Linked DNA regions of Kluyveromyces lactis. Each later gene encodes a partner of the first gene's protein in a complex. Links are inferred from orthologs where the notes say so. Each region holds a gene or a part of one and is shown on either strand. Other genes may lie near its edges.

Evidence for each region. The genes of interacting proteins can lie anywhere in the genome.
Region 2: ABF1 (region 1) and RAD7 share a complex: the UniProt entries of both Saccharomyces cerevisiae proteins name them as parts of the global genome repair (GGR) complex. The link is inferred for Kluyveromyces lactis from reciprocal best matches to the Saccharomyces cerevisiae genes ABF1 and RAD7.

Annotation. Positions count from the first base shown.
Region 1 is NC_006042.1:271,156-279,505, reverse strand, and holds ABF1 (DNA-binding protein ABF1), read left to right. Parts: upstream 1-1,733; coding exon 1,734-3,218; downstream 3,219-8,350. Other genes in the region: multifunctional nuclease RAD27, read right to left, coding at 1-1,065; ATP25 (Atp25p), read left to right, coding at 3,477-5,165; KTI12 (Kti12p), read right to left, coding at 5,294-6,313; putative GTPase MTG1, read left to right, coding at 6,512-7,669; KLLA0_F02882g (uncharacterized protein), read right to left, coding at 7,954-8,350. UniProt on the Saccharomyces cerevisiae protein: General regulatory factor (GRF) that contributes to transcriptional activation of a large number of genes, as well as to DNA replication, silencing and telomere structure. Involved in the transcription activation of a subset of ribosomal protein genes.
Region 2 is NC_006037.1:709,968-717,717, reverse strand, and holds RAD7 (UV-damaged DNA-binding protein RAD7), read right to left. Parts: upstream 6,488-7,750; coding exon 4,760-6,487; downstream 1-4,759. Other genes in the region: pheromone-regulated K(+) transporter PRM6, read right to left, coding at 1-15; BFA1 (Bfa1p), read right to left, coding at 542-2,371; PRP39 (Prp39p), read left to right, coding at 2,852-4,699; GTPase-activating protein GYP1, read right to left, coding at 6,807-7,750. UniProt on the Saccharomyces cerevisiae protein: Component of the global genome repair (GGR) complex which promotes global genome nucleotide excision repair (GG-NER) which removes DNA damage from nontranscribing DNA.

The DNA of each region.
Region 1 (8,350 bases):
TTCCTTAGTTTTCGGTTGAATTTTGAAGAATGAGTCAAGTCTTTTCTGTACGCCGACTTTCAAACCCTTGCGTAATCTTTCAATACCTGATTTAATTCTGTCTTCATTGAACCCTTTTTCTTTAACCATAAATTCAATCAATTCCTCGGCTTTAGGTTCCTCCCATTTCAACGTCACTTCCTCACTTGGAATAACATCTGGTTGCATGAATAAATCACGCGCTTCTTTGAATTGCCAACCTTCAGGGATTTTCCATCTGCCACTACTGATGTCTCCATTTTCGAATTTCTCTACGATGGCTTCCAGGGAACCGTGTTCTTTAATCAATTTCAATGCATTGACAGGGCCTACACCCTTGATTCCTTCACAATAATCACACCCTAGAATGATACCTAAATCAATGAATTGCGTCTGAGTCAAGTCCAAAGTGTTGTAAATCACATCAGTGTCAAATTCTTGGATTGGAAGTTTTCTGGCCTCACTGAAAGTCAAATGTCTCAATAAAACTGGCGTTTGATAGCATAATGTATCCATATCTTCACTGGCAGCTGCAAACACTTTCCCTGATTTAGCAAGCTCTGCACATTGCGCCTCAGCTTCTGCAGGTGCCACAACGTAAGGAATACCCATAAGAGATAACAACTTCTGAGCTTCCTCATTATGCCATGGCAAAACTTTCACGAGTCTTCTTTCATGTTTGATAATTTCTGCCTGTTCCGTGGCTTCTTTCAACTTAGCCTCGGTATCCTCACGTCTCACCTTACGTTTATCCAATTCGTATTTCTTAAGTTCTGGTGGACTTCCATCGAACACATAACATGGTTTTATTCCATGATCAATCATGCGCAACGTACGGTAGAACATACCCATAAGATGCGACGTCGTTTCTCCATCTTCACCAGCGAGCTGAACCCCATCCTGCTGTCTCACAGCAATGAGAAATTGATAAAGAGACATCGAGGCATCGATGGCTACTTTTCTTCCATGGAAATACTTTATATCTCTGCTCTTAATAGCATTCGGTACTTGCTCAGAAATAAGTGTAGCTAAATTTTTGATACCCATGATAACTGGTTTGAAAAAAATACCGGCCTTTTTTACAGAGGCTGTAGTTGTTCAATTATATTCAGAAGTTTGAGGTATACTACCACTTTATTAAAGCTGACAAGACGCGTCCCTTGCTGATGGCCTGTAATTTTTCACTATCCATTATACGTCTCAATGGACGCTGGAGCGAAAAAGCAGAGAGAAGAAAATAATGATAATAATTATAATATATCACGTGACACTCATTTCATAATCACTATCACGTGCAACCATTTATCATTCTTCACTGAAATATGTGTTACCCGGAATCAGCGTACTAATATCCAGGGTAACCTCACCAACGCCTTCAAGTGGGTCAGTCCACATGGAAAAAAAATGAAAAAAAAAAAAATATAACAACGAACGAACAGGATTTGAGATGAAAGTGTCAACAATCACGAAAGGGAAGCCGGCAGGCCCAAGGATTTAGGCGAAAGGTTCATTGTTTCGTCGATTGGTATAAACGAAATAATACCGTAAGAACGTACCTATTCTGTGAAGGCACGGCGGCTAAGTGAGATAGGGCAGAGAGTAAACGGAGCGAGTGCAGTGCACTGGGTGACGAAGAGGATTATTTAAAAGATAACAGAGAGCTTCAGAAAAGGTATACCTTTTTGTGCGTGAATTGGCGAGTTTCGAATCCAGCGATGTCGTTATATGAATACAAGCACCCGATCATCAATAAGGATCTGGCTGCGCCAGATCCTGTGAGTGCGCAGAAACGGTCTTTCCCCACGTTAGAGGCGTGGTACGATGTAATTAACGATTATGAGTTTCAATCGAGATGTCCTATTATTTTGAAGAATTCACATAAGAATAAACATTTCACTTTCGCGTGCCATTTGAAAAGTTGTCCGTTCAAGATTTTGTTGTCGTATCAGGGCGCCAACAATTCTGGTTCGTCTGAGGATGGTTCTCCGCATGGTTTAAGTGGCGATGGTGGTTCTTCGTCGTCTGGTTCGAATCACCATAATGGTCATACGAATTTGGCCGAAGATGGTAGAGCGGAGGATGAGGACGATGATGAGGATGATGATGCGGCTGTGACTGCTGCTATCGCAGCGGCAGTTGCAGCAGTTGCAGACTCTCAGGAGACTATCAAGGGTCCCTTCGTGGTAACCAAGATTGAACCTTATCATAACCATCCGTTGGAATCAAACCTTTCTTTGCAACGGTTTGTCTTGAGTAAAATTCCAAAGATTTTACAAGTTGATCTCAAATTCGACGCTATTCTAGAGTCGTTGTGTAACGATGACGATAATACAGTGGCAAAGTTTAGAGTGGCACAGTACGTGGAAGAATCCGGGATTCTCGATATCATCAAGCAACGGTACGGGTTGACCGAAGCTGAAATGGATAAGAAAATGTTAAGTAACATCGCTAGACGTGTTACCACGTATAAGGCCAGATTCGTCTTGAAAAGAAAGAAGGATGGCGTATACGCAATGCCCACCGCTCATCAATTGACTGGCGGTGACCACCATCAAGTACAACACCATCATCATCCATCGATACCAGCTCACCACCAACACCAACTACCCGAAGGTCAACAACGCGACGTTCAGCATCATCACCAACAGCAACAGCAACAACTACAACACCAGGAACAACACCAATCACATGTTGATAGTGGACATAATGTATATCAGAACAGAATTGGTTCGATCAGTGATAATGATGATTCCGCTATACATAATCTGGATGACACTAACGTACGTGTCGCAGCTGCTGCAGCTGCCGCTGCAGCGGCTCTGCAGTCTAGAGAAAACCACGATACCGAGGATCTGAAACGTACGCTAGAACAAGTGCAAGACGATGAAAGTTTAGACGTCGGTGTACCCGATTCCAAGAGACAGCTCCACAGAAGAGAAAGAGACAGAGTCGCGGAAGCTCTTAAAATGGCTACCAGAGATATCCTGTCAAATCAAAGTGTTGATTCTGACGTGAACGTCGATGTCGATTTAGTCACTGGCCATAAACAATTATCACCTCATGACGACATGGCGGAGCAGCTAAGGTTGTTGTCATCTCATTTGAAGGAAGTTGAAGCCGAGGAAAATGTCTCCGATAATAATCTCAAGAAAGACGATATTCCTGATGAAAATATTCAGCCGGAACTAAGAGGACAATAACCAACAAATTTAATACACCCTCATGACACATTCCTCTCTTTTCATATTTACTGAAAAATTGTAAAATTGTAACTATATATAATATTATCTTATGTGTAACTTTTATGATGGAAAAAAAAAATATATGAACATTAACTGGTTCCTATTCAACGATCTGCAGAAGCTCCACAATTATAATAAAAATTCAGGAACATACATTTAACCAGTTACCTGGATTCATACGGTTTCGAGAAGTTGAGCTTGTCTATTAGTTTAACCATGCATAGATCCTACGCAGTACTTCTTCGCAACAATGTGGCTCGTCTTTGTTATAGACCGGGTTCTACCTTATTCATTCGAAATTTTACCACCAGACACTCCTTAAGACAGAGCAAGCCGTGGTATTTGGACATATCAGAGAATAAGGAGGAAGATTCAAATTCTCCTTTCATTAAACCCATACGGTTTCCTCCTACAGAAATTCCTGCTTCACTAGAAACCATTTCAAAATATCTAAATGATAAGTTGGCAGTAACGGACATTGTGGTTTTCGACACTGCCCACTCCAGTTCTGCCACTTCAATTCAAAGCATGGCTAGCTATGTTTTAATTGGTACTGTGAAATCATTTAGACACCTTCAAAACTGTAATGATGAGCTAATAAAGTTTATTAAAGAAACGTTTGATGAAGTACCCAAATCGGAAGGTTTGGTCACCAGTGGTATACTAAGAAAGAGACAAAGGCGTCTAGGCAGGAAAACTAATTTGGGCAAAATAGCCAAGATAGAGAATGATGAAAGTGGCTGGTGTTTGATAGATTCTAACGTTGATGGGCTGTTTATCAATATAATGACTGAGGAAAGAAGAGATGATTTGAATTTGGAGGAGTTGTATTGTCGTGTTGAGGAGCTTGACCAGTACAAGAAGCAAATCAATTTAAACCCACCAGCGGAAGAAGAGGATGATGTTTTACTTGGATTAAGAAAGTTGATGATGAAAAATACGAAAAGATACTATTCTACCGTGGGAGAATCTCCGAAACCAACGTTCTTGGAAGCTCTTACAATCCAGGACCTAGATTCCGCTTCAAAACTGATAAAAGAAGAAAAAAAGCCTTACCATGTTATAGCATCTGCTCTCGGACGTTTACCAAACCATATAGAACTTGATGCCGAAAATTGGATAAAGCTATTTAATGAAGCCACACCAACCGAAGGTCCGTTAGACTATGAGTACTGGGGTGCAAGGTTCAAGTTTTTCCAGTTACTTTACATTTCCAAAAGAAATAACATAGAAGAAAATACTCAGTTAGATGCCAGTACAATCAAAGAGTTTAACAGAGAACTAAACTATTTCATCAATGATTTTTTTAGGTTTAAGCAATTGGCATTATGTCAGCCGACAAGAGAGGAGTTAATTGGCTTTCTTGAAATTTGCATTCAACATCTCAAACTTTCGAAAAGCTATAACCAGCTGATAAGTGTGAATATGTGGATTCTCAAGGCCTTACAGTCATATCAATATAGTGATCCTAAGGTTGTCCATGATCCCAGGGTCATCAAACTTTTAGTTAAGTCAATGCATACCGAAAACACTAACCTTAACTCACTTTACGAGTATGTCAATCTCATCACAAATGAATTTGAGGTAAGATCATTAACAAATGACGTGATAAAAGAAATAATAACGACTTTGGTAGAAAGTGAAAACTGGCCGACTTTGTTTAAATTTTGGAAACAATGCTTGTGTGAGAGTGCTGTCGATAGTAACGTATGGGATTTCTTCATAAAATCATTATTAAACAAGAATGACAAAGTCATTTTATCAGATATAGTGGATAATGGTCATTTGTTATGGATTCATAGAAGTAAATTGGTGATAAGTGATGACTTAAAAGCGTCACTATCGAAGTTACTTGACCGGGTGGATGGTAGTCATACCAATATTAAGAAGCTACTAAAGCTGTAAATAGTTTATAGACAGATATGATATTATTCTGGAAGGAAATTTCCTTCATTATTTTAATGTGAGATAAGTGTTCATGTGAAAGATTATGTCGATCAAAGCGCTTTAAGTGTTGCCATGAGTTGAAGAATTCAGACATTCAAATGTTTGTTCAAATATTCAACGAATAACGGTTTTACTCTATCTTGCTCTAAGTTTCTTAATCTATTCATTGCAACAAATTGACGTTTTATTCTTTGTAATTGAGGCATGGAGCAATTTTGTAGTGAGAGATCGACATAAAGACAGTTTGGATCGTTTAAATCAGTATTCTCAGGAGTAAGAATTATTCTTGAAGTGCCACCACTGACCACATTTTGCTGCATATATTTCATTATAATCTTTATGACACTACTGGCCTCGGAGTCAAGTATTTGCAAAGAGTTAGTGTGAGAGGCAGCCTTCAATATCGTGGCATTGTTTGGCTTTAATTGTTGCAGGATCTTCTCAGTATCTCTATCATTCGTTGCCGGTTTGAACACGGTTGGGAATATTGCCTTACTAATATCTGTGTATAGGGTACTGATGTCATCTTGAGACGTCAATATAGTGAATAATGGAGAATCCCACCTTGTTTGAGGGTTTGGTTCTTCATACCTTTGAATAAGAGCATTCAAAAAATTGCTTTCCCAAGGTTTATGCAAATCAGTCTCTTTCTCATTCCATTCAACCAAGTTGCTCATTGGGCATACCGTGTGGATCAAACAATACGTTGTCATCACGTTTTTCACTTCACAGTGCAATTGATACCGGAATCCTTTTATGTAATTCAACGAATCAACAATGACGACTTTCTGACGAGAAAGATCTCTCTTCACCACAGACATAATCTTAGATCTTGCCCTTCTTTCTTCATTTGACCCAATATAATCATCGTGAGATATGTTTAAGGTTTCATCTGAATGGTATACAACAGAATAGTTTGACAGTTTATCGTTGGAATCGATAGTTTCCTGTAGTAACGTGACGAGTTTCTTGGCCACAGTTGTTTTACCGCTACTCGGAAAACCAGTTAGTAAAACCAAGGGCATTGCTGTACAGTCAAGAGGTTCTAAGTTCACTAGACGTTGCTGCAAAGTCTGAAACAATGATTGAGTTTTTCCTCTTTTCATGAGCTCATCGAGTATTTTCAAAGTTCTTGTTCTGAACGCAGTAAAAAGTAATTCTCATGTTGAAAGAAGCTTTAATGATCACCTATCATGATTCACCAAAAGAAAGTTGACAAACTACTGATTACTTCTTTGTCATAAACATTAACGACAACTCCATTAACTGTAATAGTTGTTCACAAACTTACTGTATTGGAAGATATGAACGTTTCGGTAAAATGTGTCAAATACTCAGGTAGACGGCTGCAGTCTACATTTGTACCAAGAATGGTATTCCCAGATTTCAATATACCAACAAGTGACTTCAAAGGACATCAAAAGAAAGCTATACAAAGAGCTCAAAATCTCCTTCCTCAGCTTAATCTTCTAGTTGAACTTCGAGACAGCCGGGCTCCAATAGCCACTAGGAACCTCATATTCGATTACTTGTCCTTAGAAAAGAAAGTTGACAGACTAGTAGTTTACACCAAAACTGATCAATGCGATCCTGCTATTATTGCATCATTAAATAAATGGCATAAGGAAATGGACGAACAATATATCATGATAGATGGAAGAAGCAAAAAGGGCGCTAAAGATCTCTTACATATATTAAAATGGAAGTATGATAAGTTTCTCCAGAAAAATGATCCGGGGAAGAAGACTGTGGGACTACCACTGGGTTATAGAATGCTAATTGGCGGCATGCCTAATGTTGGGAAATCAACACTCGTTAATAGTTTAAGATTTACTGGATATGCAGGCTTGGATCATTCGGATGGAAGCAAACCCAAGAAGGTTGCGAAGACAGGTGATCAGGCAGGTGTCACCAGGAACACTAGTGAATGTATCAGAATCAGTGATTATAAAGGAGGGTTGTTTCTATATGATACGCCTGGAATATCTTTACCTGCCAAAGCAATGAGCAAGCAAAGAATGCTATCACTCAGTTTATGTGGGTGCGTTAAAAACAATCTAGTGGACCCTGTGATTCAAGCAGATTTTCTGTTGTATCTTTTGAACCTACAGGGAAAATATCAATTCTACACACACTACACTACAACCCCTACTAACAACATTGACATTTTGTTGAGTGGCCTCAAAAAGCAAGTAGGAATGACAAACGAGAATGCTGCAGCCATCTATTGGACAGATTCTTGGAGACAAGGTAGAGTTTTAAAATCTGGGTTAAGATCTGGTTCTAAGAAGTCCTCTAAAGCTACTCCAGCTCTATTCGAGTTGGAACCCATTTTGGAAAACTTTCAATACAAGAAAACTATGCAAGAAGAACTTGAAATTCTCAAAGGTTGGGATGTTTTATCCCAACCCTTACTCAACAAAAGAGAAAAGCATTTATCTAAGGCAAATACGCTTTTCTGAGAGAATACCTAAGAAGTAGTCAGTTCTTGGTTAATTATAAACAATGTAAATAAATAATAGAAAAGTATAGACTAGTTTTCCAACATATATCGATAAAGCAAATCGAACCCACCGTCCAAATTCCTAAATAACTCGCAAAAAAAAGTTCATTTTATGAGAAGGAGGCTAAATTGTTAAGTACACTCTCCCCGTTTATTACCACCGCTGACTACCTATAGGTACATCCCGAACTGAAAAAAAAGTTTGCGTGCTAATGAAGGTTTCGATACCAAGGAAGTCATCCGTTAAGCAGGTTTGATTTTTTTCTTATAATCAGCAAACGATAATTTCTTTTTCATCTGAGCTTGGTGGATAGTAGACGAAGGGCCGGGAACGCTGTCTATTCCACGCTTCAACGAATTTTTAATGCTATTAGAATCGGAAGTGACACTAGTTTGTCCTTGGTTTGATATAGTTTCGGTTATATTTGTTATGGTGGTGTCAGTTGGAGGGTTATCTTCAGTACTTATTGTCTGTATGGGAATAGGAAGATCGGCTGGGTGTTTAATCTGTGATTCATCGAACTTAGAAGGATCTGAAATGAATGAAAGACTTTCTTTAAGGGGGTCAACCCTGTTTTTGGACTCCGTCACTGAAACCCTGTATTTGTTCCCTCTGATACTCCCAGCGTTCGTATGGAAA
Region 2 (7,750 bases), on another chromosome or scaffold:
ATCATTATCAAACATATTAGAAGAGGGAATGCACTCAGGTTATTCGACTAAACAGATCAGTCTTTGCAAGTATCTATAAATAATCTCAAAGTGAATCATATACCATAGATAAAACAAAAAGATACTGATTGGGAGCTCCAAAATTGATTCTGATATGGGATACAATGATACCACCAATATAATGTCTCTTAAGTACCAAATAGACTATTCTAAACCTCCAACTGTTGTTATTTACTTTCGTGTTTCATCTTAAAACTAATGTTGTTATATAAGGAAATGTTGATTTCCTATAAAAAGATTCTTTGACCGTGATCTATAATCGAATTCTGAACAAAAACCGATGGTTTTAAAGGGACTATATTAAGGAAATCAGTGCCGAATATGTAGTGCGATAGGCTTTGTAACATAGAATGACCTAGATGTTATGTTAGAGAGATTATTCCGTTCTATCATAAAAGATGATTTTTTATATGTATAGTTATTGTCTCTGAATAAATTAAATGCTATAGTAGGTGACACATGTCAGGACACTGATTCAGAATCAGTTACGCGCTGATGAGATAACCATATTCCTGATTTCGTACATGTATGATTTGTCATTTAAACTGGTATGTGACTGGTCTGCGGAACCAGTGTCTCTAGATTTATCACCAAGAATGAACCATCCACCTACCTTCCTGCTCCATTTATTCTCTTCATGGTAAAACTTCTCTAATTGTTTGCTTGTAATTTGGTACGTAGGATCTGTGGTTGAGTTTGTAGTCAAAGAGTGGAATCGTGTGGATTCTGAAGAGATAAATCTATTTCCATGCTCATCTCTTCCGAACGGCAGTTGAGACTGTGATCGAAGAATGTTACCAGAATGTCCTTGTGATTGGAATTTGACGTTCTTGGTAGGTGAAGATTGAGATCTTGGCATCAAGTCTGTGATACCATGAAACGGATCTTCTTCAGTACCATCAACTCGTAGCCATCTTAGGTTCTTTTCATCAAATCTCATTTTTCCCACGACCTTCCCATGCTGAGAATTTGAGGAGGCCGCATTCGTCCCTGATGCCGCTATTTGAGTAGAGGACGAAGTCTTCAACGGAGACTTTGACCTTTTGTTCTTGATGATAAACGCTTTCCGATCGACATTTTCAATGTTATCGAAACTGCTTAAAATATCCTCATTACCATCCCATCGTTTCTCCCTTGGGTTGTATTTCATCTTACCTCTTTTCAACGGCGTGTTGAGATCAATTTCTTGTCTTATTGTCTTTAAACGAGCACGAGCTCTTGTAGAATTACGTCTGTTAACAGCAGCAGCAGCAGCGGCCTGTTTTGCCGTACCCCGTTGTTGACGAGCTTCCCTATACGAATCCAACGGAGCGTCGAACGCATAATGCTTCTTATGCAGCTGTGGTGTTAATAAAGTGTCATCATGTTCGATATCATACTCTGAGGGTGATAAACGTAATGTTGGATCAAATGCTGAAAAGTTATTGTTGTTATTAGTAGCGAACTGGAAGTTATCGTCAATTCCTTCAAAATCATTACCGAAATTATCGTCATCGTCGTCTCCATTATTAGCCATTTCTGTAGCCTCAACAGCAATGTCTTGGACAACGTTACCGTCATCAGTTCTTTCACCAAACCTTGGTCCAAGATCCCTGTAACTCCTTCTAACTCTGGGCACATATGGATAGGGTTCATCATCTTCATCTTCATCGTCATCTTCGTCATCTTCGTCCTCAAGTAACACATCTTGACGGTTGAACCTCATTAACGATGGCATAGATGACTTATAACTGAGAGTTCGACCAGAACTGGGTCTAAGGTTCATATAAGACCTGCTGTTCGGTACTCGACGCGATTGCTGTGAATTCAAGCTTGTAATATTACCTTTACTACGGGTTGCCAAATCGACCATCGATCTACGCTGTCGTACCGAATCCTTCAACGATGGCCGCACTAGTCCCGCATGGTTTATATATTGATCCACATTTCTAGTACCACTACCACCACCGGTCTTAGAATTTCTCAGGTTCAATGATAGCTTCTTCTCCAGTTGTTCTTGCAAATCAGCTAGCTCGTCCTGATCCGAACTTTCCCTAAATCGTCTATCCACAGCAAGAGGTAGGTCTGTACCATTTTGGTACTCTTCAAAATCACTGTTATAGTTCATATCATCATCAAGATCGCTCGCCAGTTCCGTGTGTGATGAATACCTCTTATCCTTAGAGAATGTGGTATTTTCCGTAGTTGTGGATGTAGCTGAATTAGGTGCCAATCTCGGTACCTCTATATCATCTTTATAAGTAAATGTGCTTTCAACATCTTCAAATGATGTTTCTCCGACATCATCCAGTACAACTGGACGTATAGACATCGATAATCGAAGATTGTCCCTGGTCTTTTCCCTTGTTTATTCCTTTGTTTACATCTCGAACATACCTTTAATGCTTCCGTCATTGATGTATCTATTAACCTTAAACAAAATAATCATATTCGTGAGACGTGATACTATATTAATTGCTGTTTAAACCGCTGTTGAGACGCCAATTCTGCATTTCGAGCACTCCTATAAAACACTGAGATTCCCAGAATTCGACTAAGTTAATAATTACCTTTTAAACACTCATTTAGGCGCGTTTATCTCTGTTTGTTTTTCTTTCATGCTTCCAAAATGATTCAAAATTGCAAAGAACCGTATTATTGTAATTCTTTAAGATAAATCTCTGTTAAAGATGCATGATGCCACCAAACAGAACAAGAGCCTTTAGCTGCTATCCGTGAGCCGTTTTGAGTGTGAAGTCGGCAGCAGGGGTTTGCATATCAAATTTAAGAAGGAAACTAGGGATTTTATGAAATGTTTGAAGGATTAGACCAAACTTTTCTGAAGAATAACGATGAATGGGTGCAGAGTTATAATTCTGTTGACTGGAACGATATAACTACTATCGACAAACTGGTGGTTGGTACAGAAGCATTGGTACAGAAATACAATAATCCCAATGAACATGTGAAGAGCAATATATATAAAGTTTTTGATGAGTTATTGGGAAGGTATCCGTTATTTTTTGGTTACTGGAAACGATACGTTGCGGTGAAATATCAGCTAGATGGATTAGAAGGGTCTATTTCTACTTTAAAGGCATCTTTACATTCGTTCCCTACGTCGATAGATCTTTGGATTGATATGTTGAACGTTTATCTAACACATAATCAGAATGATAGTGAACTGATACGAAACCAGTTCAGGAAATGCGAATCCCTCGTGGGATCTCATTTCCTCTCGCACGATATTTGGGATAAGCACATTGCATATGAAACAAGACTACAGAACTGGGAAAACGTATTTGAGGTGTACAAACAAGTCATGCAGCAACCTTTGCATCAATATGCAAGATACTACACCAGCTTTAAGGAATTCTTGGAATATCACCCAGAGTTTGCTAATAGGGAATCAAGCATCCATTTGGATACCACATTTATTTCTAACCAGGAGAAGGTGAACAAAATATGGACATATGAATCACAAATAAAACAGCCATTTTTCAATATCCCTGAGCTTCCCGAGAATGAGATTCAGAATTGGGATGCTTATCTATCTTTCTTAATCAACAACACTGAGTTCAGTACAGAATTAATAAAATCGACGTTTGAGAGATGTTTGATTCCATGTTTAAGATACGAATATTTCTGGGGAGCCTATATTGACTGGACTGAAAGGACTTTTGGTCCCGAATGTACGTTCCCCTTGTTTGAAAGAGCACTCCGGGCTCTTCCTGCTGATAATAAATCTTTCAAGCAAAAATACATCAAATATTTGGAAAGTAATATGGATCCATATAATAAATTATCTTCCAAACACTATATGGACGCTCTATACACGTTCCAGCTTAAATGGCCACATGATCCAAGTTCAACTATTAAATATTTAAGGTTTCACAAGAGAAGATATTTTGCAGCATCTTTGAATGATGAAGACAAAAAGATCTTGGAACAACAGAGTAAATATGCTACATTTTTGGATAAAACTATCAAGGCGTACCTATCAGGGAATGCAGATACGGAAAATCACGACATTTCCCAGCAGTTGCTTGCCATGCTAAATGACACTACTCTTCCGATACTGGTAGTTGAACTAATAAAAGTGCATTGGCTGGTATTGAAGAACGTCATTCAATGCAGGAAACACTTTACATACTTCGCCAAATTGGATCCGATCAAGACTTCAGTCTTATTTTGGTTGACTTACTACAAGTTTGAAAAGACTCAAAAAAATATCGCCAGATTAACAAAGTTTGTCGATCAATTAGGCACTGAGATCGTATTACCAACAAAAGTTATCAATGATATCGTACGAGATTTCCAAGGGTTTTATCTAATCAATGCAGATTATTCCGAGTACGAAACCAATTTATCGCAATCCCGTTTTGGGTTTGACCCAATAGTTCACAATAGGTTCAAAATCAACAACCCAACATGGAGGCCGAACGCCAAGCTAACCAAGGACTGGTATAAATCAGAAAAGTATAGATCGAACGGTCATCCTGGATTGTTCATTGATAAGCCTCAAATTAAAAATACTATAATAGAGACGCTTGCATCGAAGCAGCTCAATCCAGCACCTTTGCCTACTTTTAGAAATTTAGAAAAGATCCATCAGAAACCTAAATTTGATGATTACATGTCTATAGATTATTTAAAGTAGTAGCTGAAAGGGCATTCTCACACTCAAGCATTTTCATGATCCTAGAATTTTTTTAATCATTTATATACTGTCACTTTGCCTTCCGATAATGCTTACACCATTCCGAGGAGAGCATTTGCCTGTGACTTGATTATCACCATAAACTTCAATAATAGTGAGCTTTTCATTGTCCTTGGATATCTTTTCCACAATTTCATTATCCACACAGTGGACAAACCCTATATTTAGCTGCTTGAGGTTAGGACATGCCATGAAGGTGAAAGTTTTGGATGTTAGGGATTTCAGACCATTTAGATTCAACTCTTCTAAGGTGGAAGAGGAGTTAAGTAATAATTCAACTACGGCTGCATCCTCCAAAGCAAAACATCTTTTCAAGCTACATCTTTTCAACAAAGGGAACTGCAACGAAGAGAATAATAGAACTATGCCGTCGGTGGTTATCTGATCCAATTCTTCTAATTCCAAGTCTGTAAGGATTGATTGCCCTGAGTTAGACAAAAATGGTAAAAATCCATTAATTATACAGCTATCAGTCAAGCCAGTGCATCTATTGAGCGACAACTTCCTAAGGTTCTGGCCTATGGATCCTAACAAACTTATAATAACCTCGTCATTAATATCTGTTTCTCTAGATGGCTCTTCCAAGATCAAAGTGTGGAAATTAGGAGAGTTAAGATATTGCGGTAATAGGGCGTAATTTGTCACAGTATCTAGAGTTGCTAGACCTAGAGATTCCAAGGACGATCCACAATTTCGAAGCATAGCTGACAATGCATTATCATTGAATCTATGGGTATTGGAAACATGAAAAGCAGTAAGTCTACCCTTTAGCAATTCGAAGAATTGAACCCATGTATCCTCATTAATTAAGAACGGTCCATCAAGGTATAGTTCTTTTAGGTTTGGTAGCTTTTCGGCTAGATACAAGAGAGCTTCATTATTTAACTGTCCACACATCTGTAAGGAAAGCGACTCTAAATGCGGCGAAAAGATGGCAAGTCTCTTGTAGCCTTCATATGACAACTTTGAACAGTCATAAAACGTCAAAGTAGTTAAACTGGTGTTCAAGAATAACTGTAAAGTATCATCATTCAAGGCCCGATTTTTTGTCAAAGCTTGTGCTAGTTTGTTCAAGTTTTCTAAAGATACACCACCTAAAGTATCTCTAATATGTTCCACCATCGATTGTGCATTATATTCCACAATAGATTTACCGATAACTTTAATACATATATCCTGCAATGATGAAATGAGTGAGTCCTTCTTGTCTAAAAGATTGGCAGCCTTCTTTCTTCTAGTTTTCTTCTGTTGATGGCGAGCCTTAGCTAGTTGCGGAGAAGTTTTCTTACCATTAGTCAAGGTCAACATCCTTTTCTTTCGATCAGAAACCGGCAATACTTCTTCTTCCTCATCAGAATCTTCTAGGTCAGCACCACGTAACCGGCGAAGCCTCGCCTCTGCTTTGTAGTCATCGTCATCTTCGTCGTCGTCGTCCTCATCATCATCACTTTCTCCGGAAGAAGACGACTCCTGCTTCTTAACAGCTCTGGGCTTTCTTGACCGTTTTTTTGCAGCTACCCCTGCTTTAAGATCTTCATCAGATTCTGTTTCAGAATCATCCTTCTGAGTTTCTTGTGGATGTTCGGCTTCCTTCTTTTGAGCTTCTAACCATCTATCTCTAATATTCTCAGCACTAATACCTTGTTCCTTTAAAAACTGGGTCAAAGCACTGTTTGGTCCTCTTACGCCACTACCATCGTTGTTCCGACGACTCCTTGCTCTATACATGTCGATATCTCGTGGAATAGCCCCTTAACCGCCAGTCGAGACTACCTTATCTACCAGCAACTTCATTGAGATGAGATGAGATTAAGTTTTGATTAATTATTTGCTAACAATAATTTCAGACACTGCAAACAATAATGATGCTACTGATGAGAAAAAAAGCAAGAGATATGCGAGGAGAAGTATGCTAGAAGATTCACGGAACCTGCAGGTGGGCTGTTAGTTATTCATTCTCCACAATACAGTTGTTTGAATCAGGCAGTTTACATTATATATTAGATATATGTGAAAGTATTAAATTTTAGTATTCTCCCTTCAAAGATCACCTCCAATGAGAAGTAGCATCTTTGTACAACGACTGCCATATGTAAGCTTCACTTAGTAACATTTCTATATCAGATTCCTTCCACGATTTTGTCGGTGGATTTTGTAAGAATGTAATTATCTCTTGGAAGTCCATCTTCATTAATTCGTCTGACCATTTCACTAGGAAAGCTGCACAAACGAAAACATGAAATTCACTGAGAGTAGTTTGTCTGGAGTCTGAAGATGAGGGCCCTGATGACGATGTTCTCGACTTTCTATCCAGAGAAGTCGATGCGTCAGACATGAGATCCTCTGAGACTATGCTTGTCTCCAAAGAAGTCTCGGAGAGGTATGTATCCCACATTCGTATCACCATTGACATTTGGAACTCTCTCATCAACAAACAGTTCATCCATCTGACACTAAATTGTAAGAATTCAACGTGCTCAGATTCGAAATGGCTGAATAAATCACAATCTATTCTTTTCACCAACTGACTGAGGTGTTTGACTTGTTTCAATATTCCAGGCTGACCATGGATGAAATAATCTGTGATTTGTTCCAAGAGTTTGGATAGACACCAGAAACAATCCGCTTCTACATCAGACAACTGCTCTGCAGTCAAATACGTCAGCGGATCTAAACTGTAAACGTCATCCTTTGCCGATGGTGAAAGGTATTCGGACAAAAACACTTGGAAAAAAGGTGTCACTAGATCGTTGATCCCCTGTACGTAACCACTGGCAGGATGTCTTATGGCCCAAAAATACAATATCCGTTTCAATGAATTATGAACTGATTCGAATTGGTACAATGGAATATGTGGGTTGGTTCTCGGTATGTCAATTTCAATTTGATGCCAAGTTGTTACATCTTTCTCATGGTTATCGGAAAAGATATGATCTACACCCTGCTTATATTCCAGTCTTTTACGGTTCAATACCTGTTCTTGTCTCTTCA